Stegostoma tigrinum: one gene and its partners. The protein of the gene in region 2 interacts with the protein of the main gene of each other region in a biochemical or structural test. Links are inferred from orthologs where the notes say so. Each region holds a gene or a part of one and is shown on either strand. Other genes may lie near its edges. The genes, in order: gdf5, bmpr1ba and bone morphogenetic protein 2-like.

Region 1 (7,574 bases), on a different chromosome or scaffold from region 2:
GATGGAGAGGTGGTAGTGTTAATTAAGACTTGCATTGGTGTAATTATCAGAGAGGACCTTATTTCAGGAAGTCAGGATATAGAATCAGTTCAGTTGGAGATGAGGGATATTGCGGAAAAGAGTCACGAGTCGGAGTGGCCCAGGTCTCTTCACAATGATCATGATGTAATATACAAGAAGGAACACTGTGTTCTTGTGATGCAGTTTCACTGAGAATCACAGGAGGTTTTAATATACATAATACACCAGAAAAAAATCAGTGTGGCCATCTGGGATTTACAGGTTGCTTTTGGAGAATTGAACCACATTTGCAATGGATCACCGTGGATCTTAACAGGCGATAGTAGTGTGCAGTGTCAGCAGGCTGGTAACCAAGCCCTCAAGCCTGCAGAGACATGTGTGCAACCAACCAAGCGATAGTAAGAATTGCCAATGCTAGACTCAGAGATAACACAGAGTGGAGCTGATGAACACAGCAGCCCAGGCAGCATCAGAGGAGCAGGAAAGCTAACGTTTTGGGTCAGAACTCTTTTTGAAGCTGAAGAAGGGTCCTGACCCAAAATGTCAACTTTCCTGCTCCTGTGAAGTTGCCTGGCCTGCTGTGTTCATACAGCTCTACACTGTGCAATTAACTAAGCCTCATTAGCTGTGAGACCTGTGATCAAATTTTACTGACCCTTGCTTTGACAATTAACAATTCATATCACTCAGTAGTAATTGGGTGCTGGTCATCACTTGCTCAACTGATTGACTGGCTCACAACTTCAACTAAAATTTCATTTTGACTTGAGTGCTTTCTGTTTTCTCAATTGCCAGCACTATGCTTATACCTTGGCTACATTCTGGTTCTAGAAAAGGTCTTTAACCAGTGAGAGCACAACAAAAACAGTCTGAACTTGAGTTCGGGGTGTCCCCAGACAGCAGCAACGGACAATGCCCTCAGTATCCTTGTCAATCCTGACAGGAGATCTAAATAAGAAAAACAAACTGGAACAGGACACTGCCACCTACACACTCCACATTCAGGCCCCATTCCAGAGGCTTGAGTACAGAATCTAGCTGAAACTTTAATGTGGTACTGAGGGCATGCTGTACGTTTGGCTGGTGTAGCTTAATGCTACACCAAACTCATAACTAAGGCATCAGTTGTAAAAAATAGGTCAGCATTGGCCAAAGAAGTGATGGGGAGTTCTTCCTGGTGCCCTGACCAATATTTAATCCTCCAACAGTTTCGCAGAAACAGAAAATCAGGTCATCATCATAGAGTAATACAGCATGGAAACAGACCCTTCGGTCCAAACACTCCAAGGCTGTCAGTAATTCCAAACCAAACTAGCCCCAGCTGCCTGTGCCTGGCCCATATCCCTCCAAACATTTCTTATTCATGCAATTGTAACTCAAACCCCTCATTCCCATCAGCATCCTGGTAAATCTCTTCTGAACCCTCTCCAGTTTATTAATGTCCTTCCCACAAGTGGGCAGCCAGAACTGGACACAATATTCCAGAAGAGGCCTCACCAACATCCTGTACAACCTGAACGTGACATCCCATCTCCTGTACTCAAATGTCTGAACGATGAATGCAAGTGTGCTAAATTTCTTCTTAACCATCCTGTCTGTATGCAAAGCAAAGTTCAAAGAATTATGTACCTGAGCCCCCAAGGTCTCTGTTCTACACAACGCTCTACTTTTAGTTGTATAAGCCCTGTCCTTGTTTGTCTCACCAAAATGCAAAACCTTACATTTATCCAAATTAAACTCCACCTGCCACTCCATAACCCGCCGACCCAATTGATCAAGATCTCTTTGTACTCGTAGATAACGCTCTTCCCTGTCTACTGAACCCCCAATTTTGGTGTCATCCACAAATTTAATGAGTATGCCTCCTTACATTCTGATCTAAATCATTTATATAAATGATTACTTGATTGTCTGTGGGAGCCTTCTGTGAGCAAATTGGCTGCTGTGTTTTCTACATTATGTTACGCTACCGTGAAATAATCTATTAGCCGTAACGACGTCTGAGATGTTCAGAGGCTCGGAAAAGTGCTATTGAAATGCAAACCCTTTTCTTTCTGTAGAATAGACTGTTAGACAGAGAGAGGGTGTATGATGATCTGGGATAAAATGTTCAACAGAAGGTCTAAGGGTGACATTAAACGTTATACAAGCAAATATCTGCAGATGCTGGAAATTTGAAAGTAAAATATCAAATGCAGAAACATTTGGCAGCAATCTGGCAGCAATGGTGGAGAGAGAAGCAAGAATAATGTGACAGGCTGGGTGTATTTAAATGGTCATTGGATAAACATATGGATGATAATGGGATAGTGTAGGTTAGATGGGCTTCAGATTGGTTTCACAGGGCGGCACAACATTGAGGGCCGAAGGGCCTGTGCTGCACCGTAATGTTCTATGTTCCATATCTACTGGAGTTGAGAAGAATGAGAAATGATCTAATTGAAAACATATAAGGCCCTGAGGGGACTTGACAGGGTGAATACTGAGAGGATCAGAAACAGAAACAAAAAAATTCTGGGGAAACTCAGCAAGTCAGGAGCATCCATGGGCAGAAATCAGAGTTAATGTTTCAGGTCCATTTCCTCAGAATGGTTCTGTTTTTCTGCTTTCTCTCTACAGATGCTGCCAGACCAGCTTGGTTTTCCCAACCATTTCTGTTACTGATTTCCAGCATCTGCAGTTCTTTTGCTGTTTTTGTTTGATATTGAGAGGAGGATTCCCCCTTGTGATGTAGACTAGAACCAAGGACCCTCCAAGTTAAGAGGGAGATGAGGAGGAATTTGTTACCTCAGAGTCATCAGTCTTTGGAACTCTTCCACAGAGGTAGTTAAAGGGAGTGATTGAATATTTTTAAAGAAAGATTTAGATAAATTCTTGATATTAAGGGATTCTAAGGATGTGGGAGTAGGAGTTAAGGGTGGGGGTGAAGTCAGTTGGAAGAGAAATCAGTGTCAATGTCACAAACAGAATAACCATGATTCTATCAAATGCAAGAGTAGGCTTGAGGGGCTGAATGGTCTCCTCTGAATTTGTATATTGCTATACAAAGTAACCATAGGCCCAGAGGGCTTCTTATTAGAGAGAGAGAAGGAGAGGTCTGGTGCTCATTTAATCTGAGGGTCACCATGTGTCAGGGTGAGGGAGGAGGTGGAGAAGGAGAGTCCTTCATGGTAACCTCAAGCTCTGTAGGAATTGAACCCATGCTTTTGTTTCTATTGCAAATCAGCCTTCCAACTAACTGAGCTCAGCCGCAGGTCTGCAACCTTACACCAGAATTGAGAAATCGTAAGAATCACCAAATCATAAAAGATCAAGGTCCATGTTGTTCACAGTCTGCCTTCCTGGTGTGCACAGATTGCATGTTAGTGGTCTAATTGGAAAGAGTACAGAAGACGTTTACAAGAATTGTTCCAGAGATGAGAGACTCAGTGATGACGAAAGTTTGGATGGGTTGGGGCTGTTTCCCTCGGAGAGTTGAAACTGAGTTGCCAAAATAGGGGTGATGCAGTGGCTCAATGGTTAACACTGCTGCTTCACAGCACCAGGGACCCGGGTTCAATCCCACACTTGGGTGACTCTCTGTGTGAAGTTTGCCTGTTCTCCCCTCGTCAGCATGGATTTCCACCCAAAATCCAAAGATATACAGGGTAGATGGCTTGGCCATGGGAAATGCAGAGTAACAGGGAGGGGTAGGTCTGGGTGGGATGCTCATTTGAGGCTTGGTGAAGACACGATGGGCCAAATAGCCTGCTTCCACGCATTATATTCTATGATTCTAATGATGCTCATTTGGAGAACTAGTGGATGGGCTGTGTAGCCCCCTTGTGCACCATAGCATATCAGTGAATCTGTGACCCACAAACCTGTGATGGGGATGTGAGAGGGTGAATGTTACCAACTGAGCCTGGTTAGCACTGACTGCTGAGTCACTGGGGTGCGAGCACTAACTATTCACACTCGTCGATCAAACTTATCTTGCAAATAAACAAAATAATTCATTTGAATATGATGTAGTGGCAACTCACTTTATACACAAATACTAACACGCACAGTCTCAGGCCACTCACATACAGGAGGTCACTGCATTGAGACTTGACTATATTCTATCCCAGGTAAGAAAGAGGTTAATAATTGAATGCTTCAAACAGTAATTTCTATGATACACAAGGGAAATATTTAGCTCATCCCGAAATTCCAGCTTATTTGCTTGAAATGTTCCAGCAACCTTTAATTGTGTAAACGTGTTTTCCAATAAATGACTCAGATTGTGCTCCATCAGGTGAGAGCAGGGTAGGGTTTGGATATTCAGAGTAGTAGTGGTTAACTTTTTGTTTCAGCTTCTACCTGTCAGCAGTGTGCTAGACTTCCACAAGAGTTTCTTTTTCTAAATCCAAAAGTGAATTTCCGCTTTTTTAGTTTGATTCTTTGCTTTTTTCCCCCCTTTGTGTGTGTGTGTGTGTGTGTGTGTGTGTGTGTGTGTGTGTGTGTGTGTCTGTGTGTGTCTGTGTGTGTGTGTGTGTGTGTGTGTGTGTGTGTGTGTGTCTGACAGAGTGAAGTTTCACCACCTCAACATTTCTCAGGGTGACATTTTGAACTGAAAGGAAAAGTTCTGATAGGTCATGCTGCAAATACATTACAAAAGTTCAGTAAATGTTTCTGAAAGTTGCAGCAAAGCAAGTTGAGAGAGATGGGGGAGGATTGAGGCACAGAATAAGAGGGAGGAAGTGAGGCAGAGATAGGCATAGACAGAGAGAAGTTGGGGCATGCAGGAGAGGGGAAATGAGAAAGGGGGTGAGGGGGAGAGTGAGAACAGAGGGGTGAGGGTGAGAGTGGGAATGGCGATAAAGTGGAGGGGAGCTGGAGGAGGGAAAGGAGAGAGGGTAGAGGAGAAGGGGAGGAGAGACGGGGCATGAGTAAGTAGTGCAAAAGACAGAAGGGATGGGTGGGAGAAAATGGAATTGGTGAGAGTGAAAGGGATGGAGAAGGCAGAGTGTGGTGGAGATGGGAAAGATGGAGTTTAATTTAGATAAATGTGAGGTATTGCATTTGGTAAGACAAACTGGCAGGACTTACACAGTTAATGGCAGGGCAGTGTAGAGTGTTGTCAAACTGAGGGACCTAGAGGTGCAGGTCCATAGTTCCTTAAAAGTGGCATCACCAGGGAAACAGGGTGGTGAAGAACATATTTAGCACGCTTGTCTTCATTGGTCACAACATTTGACTGTCATTGGGACATCATGTTACAGCTGTACATGACATTGGTAAGGCCACATTTGGAGTACTGTGTACAATTAGATCACCCTGCTATTGGAAGGATGTTATTAAGCTGGAAAGAGTATGAAAAGATTTACAAGGATGTTACTGAGACTTGGAGGGTTTGAGTTATAAGGAAAGGATCGACAGTCTGGGACCTTTCTCCCTGGAACATAGGCAGCTGAAGTGCAACCTTATAGAGGTATATAAAATCATGACGGGCATAGATAAGGTGAATAGTCAAAGTCTTTTTCCCAGGGTAGGGGAGTCCAAAACTAGAGGGCACAGGTTTAAGGAGAGCGGGGAAAGATTTCAAAGGGACTTGAGGGGCAATCTTGTCACGCTGAGGCTGGTGTGTGCATGGACTGAACTGCCAGAGGAAGTGGTGGAGGTTGGTACAATTATAACATTTAGTAAACATTTGGACAGGTATATGAAAGATAATAAAATGTGAGGCTGGATGAACACAGCAGGCCAAGCAGCATCTCAGGAGCTCAAAAGCTGACGTTTCGGGCCTAGACCCTTCATCAGAGAGGGGGATGGGGAGAGGGAACTGGAATAAATAGGGAGAGAGGGGGAGGCGGACCGAAGATGGAGAGTAAAGAAGATAGGTGGGGAGGTAGGGAGGGGATAGGTCAGTCCAGGGAAGACGGACAGGTCAAGGAGGTGGGATGAGGTTAGTAGGTAGCTGGGGGTGCGGCTTGGGGTGGGAGGAAGGGATGGGTGAGAGGAAGAACCGGTTAGGGAGGCAGAGACAGGTTGGACTGGTTTTGGGATGCAGTGGGTGGGGGGGAAGAGCTGGGCTGGTTGTGTGGTGCAGTCGGGGGAGAGGACGAACTAGGCTGGTTTAGGGATGCAGTAGGGGAAGGGGAGATTTTGAAACTGGTGAAGTCCACATTGATACCATATGGCTGCAGGGTTCCCAGGCGGAATATGAGTTGCTGTTCCTGCAACCTTCGGGTGGCATCATTGTGGCAGTGCAGGAGGCCCATGATGGACATGTCATCTAGAGAATGGGAGGGGGAGTGGAAATGGTTTGCGACTGGGAGGTGCAGTTGTTTGTTGCGAACTGAGCGGAGGTGTTCTGCAAAGCTGTCCCCAAGCCTCAGCTTGGTTTCCCCAATGTAGAGGAAGCCGCACTGGGTACAGTGGATGCAGTATACCACATTGGCAGATGTGCAGGTGAACCTCTGCTTAATGTGGAATGTCATCTTGGGGCCTGGGATAGGGGTGAGGGAGGAGGTGTGGGGACAAGTGTAGCATTTCCTGCGGTTGCAGGGGAAGGTGCCGGGTGTGGTGGGGTTGGAGGGCAGTGTGGAGCGAACAAGGGAGTCACGGAGAGAGTGGTCTCTCCGGAAAGCAGACAAGGGAGGGGATGGAAAAATGTCTTGGGTGGTGGGGTCGGATTGTAAATGGCGGAAGTGTCGGAGGATGATGCGTTGTATCCGGAGGTTGGTAGGGTGGTGTGTGAGAACGAGGGGGATCCTCTTAGGGCGGCTGTGGCGGGGGCGGGGTGTGAGGGATGTGTTGCGGGAAATACGGGAGACGCGATCAAGGGCGTTCTCGATAACTGTGGGGGGAAAGTTGCGGTCCTTAAAGAACTTGGACATCTGGGATGTGCGGGAGTGGAATGTCTTATCGTGGGAGCAGATGCAGCGGAGGCGGAGGAATTGGGAATAGGGGATGGAATTTTTGCAGGAGGGTGGGTGGGAGGAGGTGTATTCTAGGTAGCTGTGGGAGTCGGTGTGCTTGAAATGGACATCAGTTACAAGCTGGTTGCCTGAGATGGAGACTGAGAGGTCCAGGAAGGTGAGGGATGTGCTGGAGATGGCCCAGGTGAACTGAAGGTTGGGGTGGAAGGTGTTGGTGAAGTGGATGAACTGTTCGAGCTCCTCTGGGGAGCAAGAGGCGGCGCCGATACCGTCATCAATGTACCGGAGGAAGAGGTGGGGTTTGGGGCCTGTGTAGGTGCGGAAGAGGGACTGTTCCACATAACCTACAGAGAGAACGCCCTTGACCGCGTCTCCCGTATTTCCCGCAACACATCCCTCACACCCCGCCCCCGCCACAACTGCCCTAAGAGGATCCCCCTCGTTCTCACACACCGCCCTTCCAACCTCCGGATACAACGCATCATCCTCCGACACTTCCGCCATCTACAATCCGACCCCACCACCCAAGACATTTTTCCATCCCCTCCCCTGTCTGCTTTCCGGAGAGACCACTCTCTCCGTGACTCCCTTGTTCACTCCACACTGCCCTCCAACCCCACCACACCCGGCACCTTCCCCTGCAACCGC
Region 2 (7,923 bases):
CAAGGACATTAGGGAACCATCAGATTTTTTTTAGTAACAATGAACAATGATTACAAAAACAGAAATTGCTGGAAAAGCTCTGCAAATCTGGCAGCATCTATGGAGAGAAATCAGAACTAGTGTTTCGAGTCCAGTGACCCTTCCTCAGACACGCTGAACTTGCTCAACAATTTCGGTTATTGTTTCTGATTTCCAGCTTCCACAGTTCTTTTGGTTTTTATGAATAATGATTACATAGTTTCCATTAAACTAACTTGCTTGTTCAATTCCAGATTCTTAGTGAATTCAAATTTCACTATCTTCTATGTACCCAGAACATTAGCCCAAGGCGCTGGATTACATTAAGTGGAGTGACATTATCATAGTGATATCACTTCCGCAACAATCATACTTGTTCACCTCCCTCCAGATTACCACCGGTATCACTCGAATCAATAGCCTTAAGCAAAAATAATAACAATTGAGTTAAATATTTGTTTCCCTCCTGTATTACACACAGTACTGGCAATAGCTCAACTTGAAATTATTTATGGAAATTAAGAGTTGCAATATAAGTACAGAAAGGATGTGATTGAACAGTAAAAGAAAACACATTAAAAAGGATCAGCAACAAGCAGGGGGGTTAGACATCAAGTACAACCCATGGGGAGAATATATGCACATAACAGGAGACTAATGTTTGGAGATTGACTAAATGTGGTATCAGGTCTCATTTTAATCAAAGGCACTCTGATACAATGCAACAATTGACAAACTATGCCAGTATAGATTGCGAAATATCAATTCAGCCTTAGCAATCTTAAATAAATTGACGTTGAGAGTATTAGCAAACAAAAGTTGCTAATGTGCAATTGAAAATAAAATTCATTCTGCACATAGGCCATTTTTCTAAAATAAAGACTCACAAGCAATCATTCAAAATTCTATGTAGGGAAAGCCAGAACATTTTTAATTGAAAAAGAATACTGAATTCTTACCTTCAATACTATCACCTTCCTGTACACATCTAAAACCAGATACAATAGGGGTATTTAAAGGACTTTTAGATAAGTACATGAAATTGTAAGGAATGGAGGGATATGGACCAAGGGCAGGCAGAGGGATTAGTTTAACTTGGCATCATGTTTGGCACAACATCATGGGCTGAAGGGCCCATTCCTGTGCTGTATTGTTCCAGGCTCTGCTCATTTATTGTGGTAATTTCTGATCAATTGTAACTTTTTTTACATGAAAGTAGCATGAACTTTAATTTGTGTGCCTGATTTACCCAGAACACATGGAGCCAGACTATACAGTATTCACAAAGGCAGAAAAGGATAAAAGAAAGTAACTATTGAACAATTAGACTCATATCAATACTAAATAACATACTAGACACTACAATGTGGAATAAGATTAGTGAATATACAAAAGGTGTGACTAACAGAGTTAGTCAACATAGATTGCAAGGAAATGTCAATGTTGATTAATGCTTTGAGCTAAAACAGAATGCAATTGGTACTGCATATTTGTGCATTCCAGAAAAGAATTCCTAAGGTAAAAGACATGTTTTTTCTGTGGAATTTTACATTTCCAATCCAATTATTTGAAGTAATAACTTCTCTAAGCATATCTCTAATACAACGGTAACAAAAGGCCAGAATTCTCTTAATTTTGATACATATAGTATCAGATTTTTATTAAATTAATATTTCACCTTATATATCCCAATACAGCAGTAACAGAGCATTGCCATGTCAGAGTCTTGATTTCAGATGAAGCTAAGCCAAAGCCCTGTCTGTCCTCCCAGATGGATAAAATATCCCACTACACAGGGGGAAAGCAACCCATGGGACCTTTTACAGAGAGCTAAGAAGATGGATGGAATTGGCTGTAGATGGATATCTTTAAAAATACAATCAGGAAATGACTGGTTTTGGTGCATTACCAGGATAAGAAGTGCTAAAAAAAAGACACAATGGCCGTGAATGGTAAATCTCAAGTATTTGTATAATTCCACACAACTCAGTCTTCATCAATCAACAGACGTCCAACGTGTGTCTGCTACACCCAGTTATTTACTATTCTCTTGTAAAAAGAAAATCCAAACAACTGTCACTTTTTTTTGAATAGCTTGTTCCCTGGATACTGTAGACAATAGTTCATTCACAACTTTTTTGTTCTTTTTACTCACTTCCAACTCTAGCACTCTTCTAAAGGATAAGAAACTACCAGCTACAAAAATATTTTAATTATCAATTAACCTGCTAGAGTTTTACTGATTTTGTATCTATTTCCAAGTTGTCTTGGCCTGATAATGTTATTGGTACCATCAGATGTATTGCAGGAAAGACCTGTAGTGGAACCCTAGTACAGTATTGTACATAGGGACATACAGACGACAGTTGAAAGTGGAACTATTGAGGTTTTTGGCTGCTACAATTTCAGTCAACAGAAGCTATTTCAACAAGTGTATTACTTAGTACTGACTTTTGAATTATTACAACAGTATGTCAGACAAAGTTAGACAGTTCCTGTGATGCGTTTTATGAGTTAATGCTATATAAAAAAGTCCATCAATCACATTACACTATTCCCGTATATGAAGTGAAAAAAATTCAATACTTGATTTTCTTCTGACGCAGTTTATATGAATAAGTCATTGATACATTGATAGTGTAGTATGTGGGGTGACAGAAAAAAATTCTTGCACTCCTTTCCAACTGAGCTGTTCCGTCAAGTTGGTTTTTTTTGATATGATGGTTCTGACTAATTTCTCCACTTATTAAGTATCACAGAAATACCAAGCGTGTACAGTCATAAACATTCTCCACTGAAGAAAATGAACAGAGAACGTGATTCACAGACAGGAAGAAAAACTTCCCTCAATACGAATTGAAAACTTCCTACTCAGTGAACTAATCTAGGTGTTCATCTTTAGATCGGATAAAGACAACAAGAGTGAAATCCTTCCTAATGATAATTTGGTCCCAAAGATACGATGTTGTGCAACTTGCCCTAAAAATCTCTGCGTTTTAGCATTCAAACTGAACAGTATTTCGAAATTATAAATTCAAAACCTACTCACAATCCATGAGGTTTAAGATATATTCATACTCTGAATGCATTCCAAACGTCACCACAGTATTACTATCATTGTTAATTTTTGGTAGTATTTTCTTAAAACATCAAATGGATTTTGTGGCAATATTCTCCCGTATAAAATTTGGAAGGAGCGTAGGGAACGAGCGCCTCCTTTTACTTTTAGATATGTTTGTAGGTCTCACATATGCACATTTAAACACACACACACAGGTACCTTCACTGGAAACTCCAGCACTCTCCTTTTGCCCTTCTTCAATCCCAGGCAATGATCTTTCGCCGCTGCTGATTGCTTCTTTCTTGCTTTGCTCCCACTTCACACGGGAACACTAGAAGTTGCTTGCACTGATGGGTTAAAACCAACCCCCCCTCCCTCCCTTCCTCCACCTCCCCCACTTTTGACTCTCACTCCTTCGGCGCGTCTCCGATGACTGACAGACGAGACTCGGGCTCCAGGCTCTCAGCAGCAGCAAGACGTCGGCAATCTCCGGCACCACGGGGCTTCGGCAATCTCCGGAGGCAATTCGCTCCCGGGGCTTCTCGTTTCAACACTCACGCTTCGGCAATCTCCGGCAATGGGGCTGAATTGGACCCTTGTCAATGTGACTCCCCTTCAAATAACAGCCTTTTCCACATTGTTTTGGTGAAACTCAACTGCTATCTTTGGAGACACAATGATTTAAAAAGGAACTGATAAGAGTGACTGTAATGTTTAACTTGTAACTTTGTTCTTTATTTGTTTCTACTTTGTCCTAAGGTTTTTGTGCCTAGGTACTTATAACTAAAATGATGCAGTGTTTGCCAACATTGAAAATGTTTCACTATACTCCTATACATGTACACATGACGATAAAGTCTAAATCTAAAGATAATATGCTCAAATAAAGAAAAGGAGCAAAGGTAGATGTATATGAAAGCTAGCAGGTCACATCAAAGTAAACAGGCTAAAGGCCAAATGCTGGAAAATAAGATTAGAATAGATTGAAATTTGATGATAGATGCAGACATGATGGGCCAAAGGACCTCTTTTTGTGCTGTTGAACACAATTGATTGATGACTATAAAGTGGACTGCTGCAGTTTAAGAAGGCCGCTTGCCCCCATCTTCTCGAGGGCACCTGGGATGAACAATAAATGTTGGCCAGCCAGTGACACCCACAGCCCTTGAATGAATGAGAAAAATAACAACAGGGAGATTGTTATAAATAAAAACAGAAATCACTGGTGAAACTCAACACGTCTGGCAGCATCTGTGGTGAGAAAGCAGAGTTAATCTCTTGAACCCGATGACTCTTCATCAGAACTCAAGAGTCCACTGATGTTGACTCCATGTCCTCACCATAGTGTTCAATTGGTTAAGTTAAAATTCAGAACGCTCATTGTGCAGAGTCACCAGGGCTGGTTAGTAATCTACCAGTTTTAAACTCAGCTTCCTTCTCCCTACTCCTGCCATCATTCCTCGCCAAATTCACACGAGAAAGCAGAACCATAGGAACCTTTATTTCAAAACTCTGCTCTATTTTGTTGTTTGCTGTCTCTCCAACCATTATATTTCCCAGATCCTAATATCAAACACTTGGTGACTTATTCCAGCCTCTCACTTGGAAGATCAATCAATTTTCTTTGATTTCCTTTCCTCCCTGTTCTCTACAAGGCTGATATAATATTAACTGGTACAGGTGATGATCAGGATAAGGACAAGAACTGATCAGACTGGAATGACCAAACATTATATAAAGCCTTTTTTTCAGGAGAGATGGTAGCATAGTCTCTGAATCAGAGATCCAGTCTAAACCTTGAGGTAACAAAGAGTGAAGCTGGATGAACACAGCAGGCCAAGCAGCATGTCAGGAGCACAAAAGCTGACGTTTCGGGCCTAGACCCTTCATCAGAGAGAGGGATGGGGTGAGGGTTCTGGAATAAATAGGGAGAGAGGGGGAGGCGGACCGAAGATGGATAGAGGAGAAGATAGGTGGAGAGGAGAGTATAGGTGGGGAGGTGGGGAGGTGAGTAGGTGATAGGTCAGTCCGTGGAGGACGGACAGTTCAAGGAGGCAGGATGAGGTTAGTAGGTGGGAAATGGAGGTGCGGCTTGAGGTGGGAGGAGGGGATAGGTGAGAGGAAGAACAGGTTAGGGAGGTGGGGATGAGCTGGGCTGGTTTTGGGATGCAGTGGGGGGAGGGGACAAGCCTCTCCACCTATCTTCTCCTCTATCCATCTTCTGTCCGCCTCCCCCTCTCTCCCTATTTATTCCAGAACCCTCTCCCCATCCCCCTCTCTGATGAAGGGTCTAGGCATGAAACGGCAGCTTTTGTGCTCTTGAGATGCTGCTTGGCCTGCTGTGTTCATCCAGCTTCACACTTTGTTATCTTGGATTCTCCAGCATCAGCAGTTCCCATTATCGCTAAACTTTGAGGTACATGGGTTCAAATCCCACCACGGCAGCTGTGGCATTTAAAATTCAATTTTTTTTATTCATTCACAGGATAAGGGCATCTCTGACTAGGCCAGTATGTATTGGCCATCCCTAATTGCCCAGAGGGCAGTTAAGAGTCAACCACATTGCTCTGGGTCTGGAGTCACACATAGTCCAAAAACAGGAGTAGTTGGAACATCTCAGCAGGTCTGGCGGCATCTATGAAGAAAAATCAGAGTTAATGTTTCAGGTCTGGTGACCCTTTCTCAGAACCTTCTGATATTTTCTCACAGATGCTGCCAGACCTGCCGAGCTTTTCTAGCAACTTCTGTTTTTGGTCTTGATATACAGCATCCGCAGTTCTTTCAGTTTTCACATGTAGGTCAGGCCAGGTCAGGATGGCAGTTTCCTTCATGAAAGGACATCAGTGAACCAGATGGGGTTCTCCTGACAATGGATTCATGGTCATCATTAGACTTTTGATTCCAGATTTTCTTTTTTAATTGAAGTCACATTCCACCATCTCCTGTGGCAGGATTTCCTTCTGGGTTCCCAGAACATTGCCTGCATCTCTTGGTCAATAATCCAGCAATAATCCAATAGACAACTGAGCCATTGCCTCCCTGATAATCTGACTTGTTGTTAGTTTCAGTCATGGCAACCATGAAACTAACACTGATTGCTATAAAAATAAAAACAACAAATTCCTTAATGTTCTTGAGGGAAAAGAAATCTGCCATCCTTACCTGGCCTGGCCTACAGTTGATTCCAGTAATGTGGTTGACTCTTAACTGCCCTCTGAAATGATCTAAAAAGCCAGTCCATTCATGGGGAAATGGATACAGTACAAATACTGGAGTTGCAAATGACACCTACATCCCATGAAAGAAAGTCAAACAAGTTGTTCAGTTTAAAGGGTGGTTGTGGATGAGCAATAAACACCGGCCTTGCCCATGTCCCAGTAAGGAATAAAAACTGCTCAGATGTAATTTGAGGTGCCTTATAGTTAACTTATAAATCTCTGAATATATTCAACTTCAGTGTTTCCTAAATTACTCTACAGTGTTCGTTTGCTCATTCACCATAGTGCAATTAGCACATTGTCCAGGCTGATACTTCCCAGTGCAGTGCTGAAGGAATTCTGCCTTTCGGATGCGATACGAAACGGAGGCCTCTCAGATGATCACGAAAGAATCCCATGGCTGCATTTAAAGTGGTTGATAAATGCTCTACCTGATGTTCTGGGCCAATAATTATCTCTCAGTCAATTCCAGAAAAAACAGATGGATTGTTCGTGATCACATTACTGCTTGTGGGAGCTTTATGTCACAAATGGGCTGCTGTGTTTGCTACATCATCACTGCGACGACACTTAAAACATGTTTGGTTGCTGTAAAACACACTTGGATGTCCTGAGGCTTGAAAAAATTTACGTTAATATTCTCTGAACCCTCTCAAAGACCTAGTCATTCCTAAAGGGTGATATCCAGAATGGGCTGCTACACTCCAGATGAAACTCATTCAGTCGTTTTTGACAGTTTCGCTGAATTTCCATCCTTTCACACACTGTACTTCTAATTATAAAGCCAAGGATTGTGGCTGTCATTTTAAACAGGATGCTCAACTCACCTCAAGAAGTCATTTGGGAATCAAAACGTCAATTCTGTTTCTCTCTCCACAGATTCTGCAAGACCTGCTGAGTTTCTCTAGTATTTATTGTTTTTATATCAGATTTTAGCATCCACATTATTTTGTTTTATTCTCAACTCTTCCTGCCTCGTTTAAAGGCCTGTACAGACAACAATGCCTGAGACTATGATGCTCTATCATTGAGCCCCTACAGTGTCAAAACAGCCCATTCGGCCCACCATGTCCACACCACCCCTCCGAAGAGTGTCCCACCCAGACCCAATCCCCTACCCCTACATTTGTTATGTCTAACCCACCTTATCTACACAACTCTGAAAACTACGGGCCATTTAGCATGGCCAATCCACCCAGCCTGCACATCTTTGGACTGTGGGAGGAAACCGGAGCACCCGGAGGAAACCCACGCAGACACGGGGAGAATGTGCAAACTCTACACAGACAGTCTGAAGCTATACAAGATAAAGTCCTTCAACACCGGTAGGCATCTCCTCACATCAGAGTGTTTAGTTTGCCATTTGGGAGGAGAAAAGGGCCTCCTGCCTCTTACCACCTTCCATCCACCATCCATCGATTTCAGGAATGTGACAGATGTAACTATTTTCATGAACAAAGATAAAGTATTTCCCTGATGCCCAAAGCAGGGATAATCCTCACACTTGGCATTCTCCTGAGTTTCCTACTCCCTGTGGCTGGCAAAGCTATGCCAGAGACATAGAGCGACTTCTAGAGGAACCACTAACATGGTTTTTGTGACCAAATTGATGATGAATATCAAGCA
Region 3 (7,713 bases), on a different chromosome or scaffold from region 2:
AAAAACATAGAAGCAGACTATTTTAAAAAAAGATCTAACTTTAATTCTGAATGAGTCAGCAACCAAGAAGTGGAATGACATAATTTTCTTAGGAGGAATACTAAGGAATTAAATAAAGCAAGGGAGACCAAAAGAAAGTGCACACACACGTGTGTGTGGGAGAGAGAGCCGTCTTGTTTATGTTTGTCTGAGCTGTTGTATCTGTCTGGAGTGGGACACATCAGATAGTTGAGGGGAGTGGTGGGGGTTGTCTGGATGGACAGCAGACGTATACAGGTGCTCTGTCTCTTTCCTGAGTCCTGGGTTAGGCTGTAGCAGAATGCATGCACTCACTCACACACACACACACACACACACACACACACACACTTGCTCCTGTGCCCGCGTTACCTTTCCCTTGAACAGGCGCCCCGCTCAGAGAAAGCAGCGGTCCATTCAAACGCGGGCAGCTCCGACTCGGTCCGCGGGCGCTGCCGCCCTTCGCTAGCCCCGTCCCCGGTTCACTCTGGTCCCCCCCTCCCGCAAATCGAGGCGCCGGAGCATCTGGTTTTGAGAGGCGGGAGAGGAAAAGTTCAGGCGATTATTTGTCTCTTCACCGCGGCTGCTTTTTTTTTGTTACATCCAGAAAAAAGGGAGGGAGGGTTGTTGGTAGGAAGGAGGTGAGTTCGGTTCCCTCTCTGACCCTCGTCTCGGTTTATCCCTTCTGAGTCTAGCACCGCCGCGGGACTCCGCCGAGCTATTCCCGTCCAGGGACCAGGAATCGAACCAGTTCCTCTCTGCTCTTCCCTGTGCCCCGCATTTGCTCGCTGCTTATTCCACACTTTCGCTCTCTTCCTCCCTTGCCCGGGTGTTGGGAAGCTCTCCAGAGGGCAGTGCAGCCCTTCACGCCCATCAACAGCAGGCGAAGAGGGGGTCAGAACATTGCTTTCAGATCTCTGTGTCGAAAATACACCCGAAAACGGCGACGGAGTCCAAGCAAATCGTCCGGTTCACTCACAAAGCCCCGGGCAATGAGCGCTATAGGAAAGTCCATCATTTCTTAACACAGTGGCCCATATATATTTATATATACATATATACAGTCACACACAACAAACACACAATCTAGAGTGAGTGAAGGGTTTCATATATATACATATATATATATATATATATTCAGTAAGGTTTTTGTTTAAAACGCTGATTCCCGCTTCTGCTGCATAAGTAATTGAAAGCGGCTTTATATATATACGATCTGCTTGCCGGCTGATGTCACGTCAATGACGCTTGATGCCAATCAAATGCGATAATTGATTCCTGTCACAATCTCGACATTGAGATCAGAGCAAGAGTTTGAATCTTTGACTTGGGTTGGGGGTGGAATAGCACAAAACATTTCTCTGCCAAGAGGATTAACGCCGGGGCAGCAGATTGGACGTTGCGTGATTTTATGTTTTATTTTTTGGTGTGTGTGTGTGTGTGTGTGTGTATGGGTGGGTGGGTGGGTGGGGGAGGCTTGGTGGGATAGAGAAATGGCAACTCAGCGCAGCAAAATATAAATGCCATTTTTTTTGTTAGCCACACGCGCCTCTTTAAAATATCCTTTCACACATACATAGACACCATCGCAGCCCCCACCCCACCCAACGCCCTCCAGACTGGCCCAGTCCAGCGCGCTTTCTGACCCCGGTGTTTATCCAAACCAAATCTACCGATCAATGGGGTCGGTCATTCGAAAGGCCAGATCCCGTTGATAACATAGTTGGGTTCTGCTTGTGAGGGGTGGGGGTTTGGGGCGGGAGAAGTCATCGCAATTAATTGAATTCTGAACTGTCCATTCCGCGCTCCCCTCCCCACAAATAAAAAGATCCGAGGAACACTTCTTAAGGCGATCCAGAATTCAGAAGCCTCTCTGCAGTACGTGTGAGGTTTATTTACTCTTGTTCATGCCGAGATATCATCTCGGCGCTCACAGCAATGGGATTGGGAACTCACGCTGGGACAGACACGGCTGGGCTCTCAGAAATCCACACGTTATAGGAGGTTCCATTCATCCCCAGAGGGTTGGGGGGGGGGGGAGTGGTGAGGGAGGGGTGGGGGTGGGGTGTCGGGAAATTGAGAACGGTGCGCTTTCCCCTCGGTGACAGGACCAAAGTCTGAGAGTTTAGCTCAGACTTCTATTCTTCGGCTGTTTTGTTCTGGTTTGGTTCCCTCAGTGAGGATTTCAAGAAGAGAGGTCACTCAGGGATGCAATGTTGGAAAAGCACTTGCCACTCGCTTTGGGATGTCTTGCCTCCCCCAACACCCCCTGAACGAAACAAGATTTTGGGTCTGATATATGTTCGACAAAGAGAGAGAGAGAGAGAGCCCAGAGCGCCAACTCCTGGTCAACACAGCAAAAGGCCAGAGGGTTGAATTTCCAGCTTGCTTTTACAACGGCTTCTTTGTACAACTCTCTCGGAACGCGAGAGAGAGAGAGAGAGAGAGAGAAGTAAAATCATCCTGAAACTCGGCTCAGCACAGATCGGAATCAGCTCCCTCCTCCCCCTCACAACACTCACCTCCCCCCACCCCCGTGACTTCCCTCCCCTCCGACACACACACGCAACAACCACTTCAATTTACAACTTTAAACCATCAATATATCGAAAACAAAAGTTTTAAAAACAATACAGACCGTACAGGTGTGACGCCGTGCACAGTGGGAAGAGGCAGTCTAAGATCAAGATAAAGTGAAAGAGAGAGAGAAGGAAATTTAAAACCGGCGGCAGAACATGTGTATGACAAGAGAGAATGTAGTAACGATTCTGGGACATGGCTGTGTATTAGGGATGAAAAGATGTGTGTGCTGTATGAAAAATAAAATCAAGTAAAAACAAAGGATGTACTAGGGACGAAATAAAGGTTAAGAGTAATTGTAAGTTTATCAAATAAATCTTGCACCCTCTAATCAAAAGCAGCAATTGGCTCGCTGCAGTTGAACGACTCAAATGACCAAATGAGTGAAATTTCAGATCTTCCCACTCCCCTTTACCTGATGGAGAATGTTGCATTAGACCACGCTGCTGCACCCCAAAACCCGGCTGCTCCTGTCAGCGGGATTTGATGAAAAAGTGCCGAACGGGAAGGAAAGGCGAATCATTTCACTGAGTGAGCAATCCCGGAGAGACCAGAAGTTAATCTTTGCATGTGTGAAACGAAACGCGAGATGAGGCTCCGGGCGCCCGATTTAAAGCATCTCGCAGCAAGTCAGTTCTTCCGAGTGAATGACTTCACAGTCGCTCATGTGAGGGCTCTCTCTCACTCACTCACTCTCTCTCTCTCACTCTTCTCTCTCTCTCACTCACTCACTCACTCCCCTTTAGTGATTCGGCATTGTGGCTGGCATTGGGAATGTTTACAGATATGAAGTGACTCATTCATTTCAGAGACGATCTTCATCTAACGTCATTACATCACAGTGGATTTTTGTATTTTTTTTAGAAAAACAAGGTTCTGTTTAAGAGTGTAAACAGGTTGACTGATGCTGTGTCTGTGACACAGAGAACTTCCTACATACTGTCATAGAGTTTCTCCGTCAGACAGAAAGAGAGAACTGTTGCTTTAAACAAAACTGCTCTCCTCAGCTCCCATTATCACTGCACTCCTCAGCTCCCATTATCACCGCACTCCTCAGACATCCGAGTGGGGTAAGGGGTATATGCATTTACCGCCAGCTATCAGAATTTTCAACAAGGTCCAGTTCACAAACGTCGGGACAAATATGTAAAACCCCACCGAGAGATTGAAATCGCTGTGTGACAGCGAAACCACAATACGCACGTAAAATCCTTAACACACATGGCAATCCTCAATGCACACACCAAATTCATAACATACACACTAATCCATAATACCGATGGCAGGCGGACTGATGTTATGGGTTACACACAACCACAAATGGCTGGAGAAGCTCAAGCAGGTCCGGCAGGGACAGTCAGAACTGCAGATCCTGGAGTCAGAGATAACGCAGTGTGGAGCTGGAGACACGCAGCAGGCCGGGCAGCATCAGAGGAGCAGGAACACTGACGTCTTGTGTCGGGACCCTTCTTCAGCATCTCTGGAGAGAGAAAGTTGAGTTAACGTTTCAAGTCTGGTGACCCTTGTTCAGACCTGCTGAGTTTCTCCAACAAATTCCGCTGTGTGTATTTCCCGATTTTTGTTTTATTTCTGACGTTGTGAATACCCGGTCGTTTTATAATTCAGTCAACATTCGTCAACACATACGTACGTGTGCATTAGACATCTCCCGGGAGCGCCCAGAGAGAACATGCATTGGGATTAATAGAGCTATTTATTAGTCTTATTTATAGCCCTGTTAATTCATACCTCACCTCTGTGCACCGTGACAGATCCAAAAGATCCCAATTCAGCCGTAACATCCAATTGCGCCCCTTCTCCACCACCCACCCCCCCCCCAGCACCCCACCATCTGATCTATCTCATTCCAGACACGGGTACAACATACATGTGTTCTGATTCCCCCTCTCTCCTTGTCCGCTTTAGTTTAAATGCCTCATTTCTCTATTTTGTCTCCTCTTCCTTACGTGCTTTCTAAGTTGTCCTGTTGATTTTTTTTGCTTAGAAAGCTGGCTGGAGAAACTGCCCCTTATTCTTAACCCGAATTTTCATCAATCTCCCCAGAACGCTTTACAAGCCTTTGTTGAGTTCCGCTCTCAGTTTCTGTTTTAAATATCCCGGACAACTTGCCCGCCGCCACTGCTTGTTCATTGAGTGGGTAGAGAGTGGAATCTCCTTGGAGAAGACGGAGAGACAGAAAGGACAGTCTAAAATCCACACTGCAGACGCTGGAAACCTAAGATATACACAAACACAAAAACTGCCTAGCAGGTCAGACAGTAGCCGCGGAGAGAGAAACTGTCAACGTTTCAGGTCTGGGAGCTTTCAGGAAAAGGGATCTAAGGAGTGATCTGATACATCCAGCATCTGCAGTTCCCATTATATCTGATACATCCAGATCTGCTGCAAGTTTGCAACATTTGTGCATCAGACGCTGATTGAATGGGCAAACGCGCCCTCCTCTGCTCCCCAGCGGTTCTGGTCACGAAGCCAGTCCCAGGTACCTTGCAAAGAGAAAGGAGTGAAGCACCGGACCAAGGTTTAAAACAGAAAGAAAAAAGACCACGCGCGGTCAAAGTGGTTTTCATATCTAGCCGGATGTGCGTGTGCCCTTTCAGAAAGACCATTTAAGGGACGTTAACGTTGTCTGAGAAGTGTTAACGTTCTCGAGAGCAGGCTGACTGGTTGTCACTTTTTGTTTGAACACACCGAGATTATATTGTGGTCTTGTATAAGTGAGATGAATTGGAATTATCAGAAACCCTCCGAAAATTCCATGAGTTTATGTGGACGGAGAGATATTTTTGCTGCCTACATTGAATCCTGAAACTCAAGTTGGGTTTTTAAAATTGGACCCAGTTAGAAAATCAAACTCAGCCTTTTCCCAGAAATTCTCTTCATTGATCTTGGTCTTTGGAATGGGACATATTTTGCTGCTATCTTCCTACAAAAATTTTCCTTGATAGGTTGGTCAATAGCAGTAATGCGTTATCTATGGTACTTCACCTTGCATCCTTTAGGGGTGTGTATTAGATGGTGTGCCCAGGAATGGGAAGTGATTCACCTTCCCGATTGTTCTCCAGTGCATAAAGCAGGATTATAACAACATAACTCAGAGATAGCAAGAACTGCCAATGCTGGTGTCAGTGTGGAGCTGGAGGAACACAGCAGGCCATGGTGTGTATATGTTCAGTAGCAAGGTTTAAGTTATGAAGAATTGCTGGATAAGTTGGGACCTTTTTCACTGGAGCTTGGGAGGTTGAGAGGCAACTTGAAGACAATTTCTAAATTAGAAGGGTATAGGTGGAGTTCATAGCAGTTGTCTTTTCCCTGGCATGTGGGATTTTAAAACTAGGAGGACACACTTTTAACGTGGGAGGAAAGAAATTTGGAAAAGATGTGAGGACAATTTTTTTTACACAGACGGTGGTTCCTGTGCGGAATGAACTTCCTGTGGAAGTAGATATGACTGCAATTGCAACGTTTAAAAGACATTTGGATTACGTACATGAATAGGAAAGGTTTGGAGGGATATGGGCCAAATGCAGGCAGGTGGGACTAGTTTAGTTTGGAATTATGTTAGGCATGGAGTAGTTGGACATAAAGTTCTGTTTCCGTACTATATGTCTCTATAACTGGGTGCCCCTCACCACCCAACAACAATGCTGTGTATTTACATAACACTTTGCGCACAGTAAATCATCATGAGATGCTTCTGGAAAGCATAAGCAGATCAAAACAGACACACCACACCAAAGAAGGGGACATTCTGACTGAGAACCAACAGATTCACAAAAAATCAGTTAGTTTCACAAAGGAAAGAAGAGGTAAGGAGGTTGAGAGAGGGAATTCTAGAACATAAGGTGAAAGTCACTGTCGTCAACAATGAGTAATGGAAGGAAAAGATGAAGAGGACGGCAGATTCTTCAGAGACTTTCCAGATTGGAGGAGGCTACAGAGATAATGAGGCTTCGAACAATGATCAGGCACTGCAATAATGTCCTCCATCATCATTAATCCTATATACTCATTGCCTAAGCAAATGTGTGATATATGTGCCCTTGGAAAAGGCATTGGTGAGCATCATAGGCCAGAATACATTGGTTTCTCCAAGCAGGAAGCGAAACTTCCTCCATCATAACACTCCCCTACATCTGATTGAGTTGATGCTACTTTCCCCACACTGGGTATTTGCAGCTTCTTACTCTCTTTGTGATGGTTGGAGCTAGGGAACAAGATCTTGCCTGTCCACTTCTTGAAGCTGCAACAGCTGCTGTTGCTCGGTGTTTTTGCCAAATGCTAGAGGTAAAGTCTAAATTTGACAACAAATCACAACCCTAAATGCTGACAGCTAAGAGGCTGCTTATCTAGGATCAACACAGCAAATTTTAATCAAAATTATTATGGTGCAGATTACTTTTATTGTTGCTTTGAACTGTTCCACTGATCTCAGTCACAGATCGAGCTGATAATGCAAGTTGCAGGAGGTGAGATTCAATCCAGCCAGAACACAGAAGCAGCTTTATTAGTCTGTAAATTGCATTTTCCGGATATTATCCATTTAGATCACCACTTCAACTCAATTGCTTTGGAGAAATTTGACAACAGCAATTTATTTTTTGGAGATTTACTGGTAACCATGTAAAAATGAAAGCAAATCTCTAATTAAAATGATATTTTATATTACTTATGAAGAACTAAGTTTGATTTGCAAACAGCTACTTAGTGTACAACCCTTCCAGGCCTCAGTAAAGTACAATTAGCTGTATGTGAGGTTATAGGATTATGCAGGATACAGGGTATCCTTAATCTGGTCTAAAGATGATTTTTGAAATTTAAGCCCATTAGGCAACAATGCTGTACTGTAGCACACGGTTTGAAAATGCTTCAACAACACTTTCAATAATCAATAGACTTAAATTCAGAATTCAAGTTTACAATGAAACTATGCAGCCTAATATTTTTATTTTAGTACAAATTAAAACAAAAGAACCTTGAAACAAAGTTTAACACGGGATATTTATTGGGACAAAAAGAAATTTAAACCTCTTGGGTGTATCATGCTGAAAGAATATATGATCAAATTCAAAGCCACTTTAATACGAAAGCGTCTCA

The links.
Region 1: the proteins of bmpr1ba (region 2) and gdf5 interact in a biophysical measurement, tested with the Homo sapiens proteins (3 studies listed by BioGRID and IntAct, with this or other methods). The link is inferred for Stegostoma tigrinum from reciprocal best matches to the Homo sapiens genes BMPR1B and GDF5.
Region 3: the proteins of bmpr1ba (region 2) and bone morphogenetic protein 2-like form a complex in vitro, tested with the Homo sapiens proteins (3 studies listed by BioGRID and IntAct, with this or other methods). The link is inferred for Stegostoma tigrinum from reciprocal best matches to the Homo sapiens genes BMPR1B and BMP2.

Annotation. Positions count from the first base shown.
Region 1 is NC_081372.1:8,448,064-8,455,637, reverse strand, and holds the start of gdf5 (growth/differentiation factor 5), read left to right. Parts: upstream 1-4,070; 5' UTR 4,071-4,133; intron 4,134-7,574. UniProt on the Homo sapiens protein: Growth factor involved in bone and cartilage formation. During cartilage development regulates differentiation of chondrogenic tissue through two pathways.
Region 2 is NC_081354.1:6,787,970-6,795,892, forward strand, and holds the start of bmpr1ba (bone morphogenetic protein receptor type-1B), read right to left. Parts: upstream 3,416-7,923; 5' UTR 3,299-3,415; intron 1-3,298. UniProt on the Homo sapiens protein: On ligand binding, forms a receptor complex consisting of two type II and two type I transmembrane serine/threonine kinases.
Region 3 is NC_081362.1:10,207,964-10,215,676, forward strand, and holds the start of bone morphogenetic protein 2-like, read right to left. Parts: upstream 3,372-7,713; 5' UTR 3,014-3,371; intron 1,185-3,013; exon of another isoform or gene 391-1,184; intron 1-390. UniProt on the Homo sapiens protein: Growth factor of the TGF-beta superfamily that plays essential roles in many developmental processes, including cardiogenesis, neurogenesis, and osteogenesis. Induces cartilage and bone formation.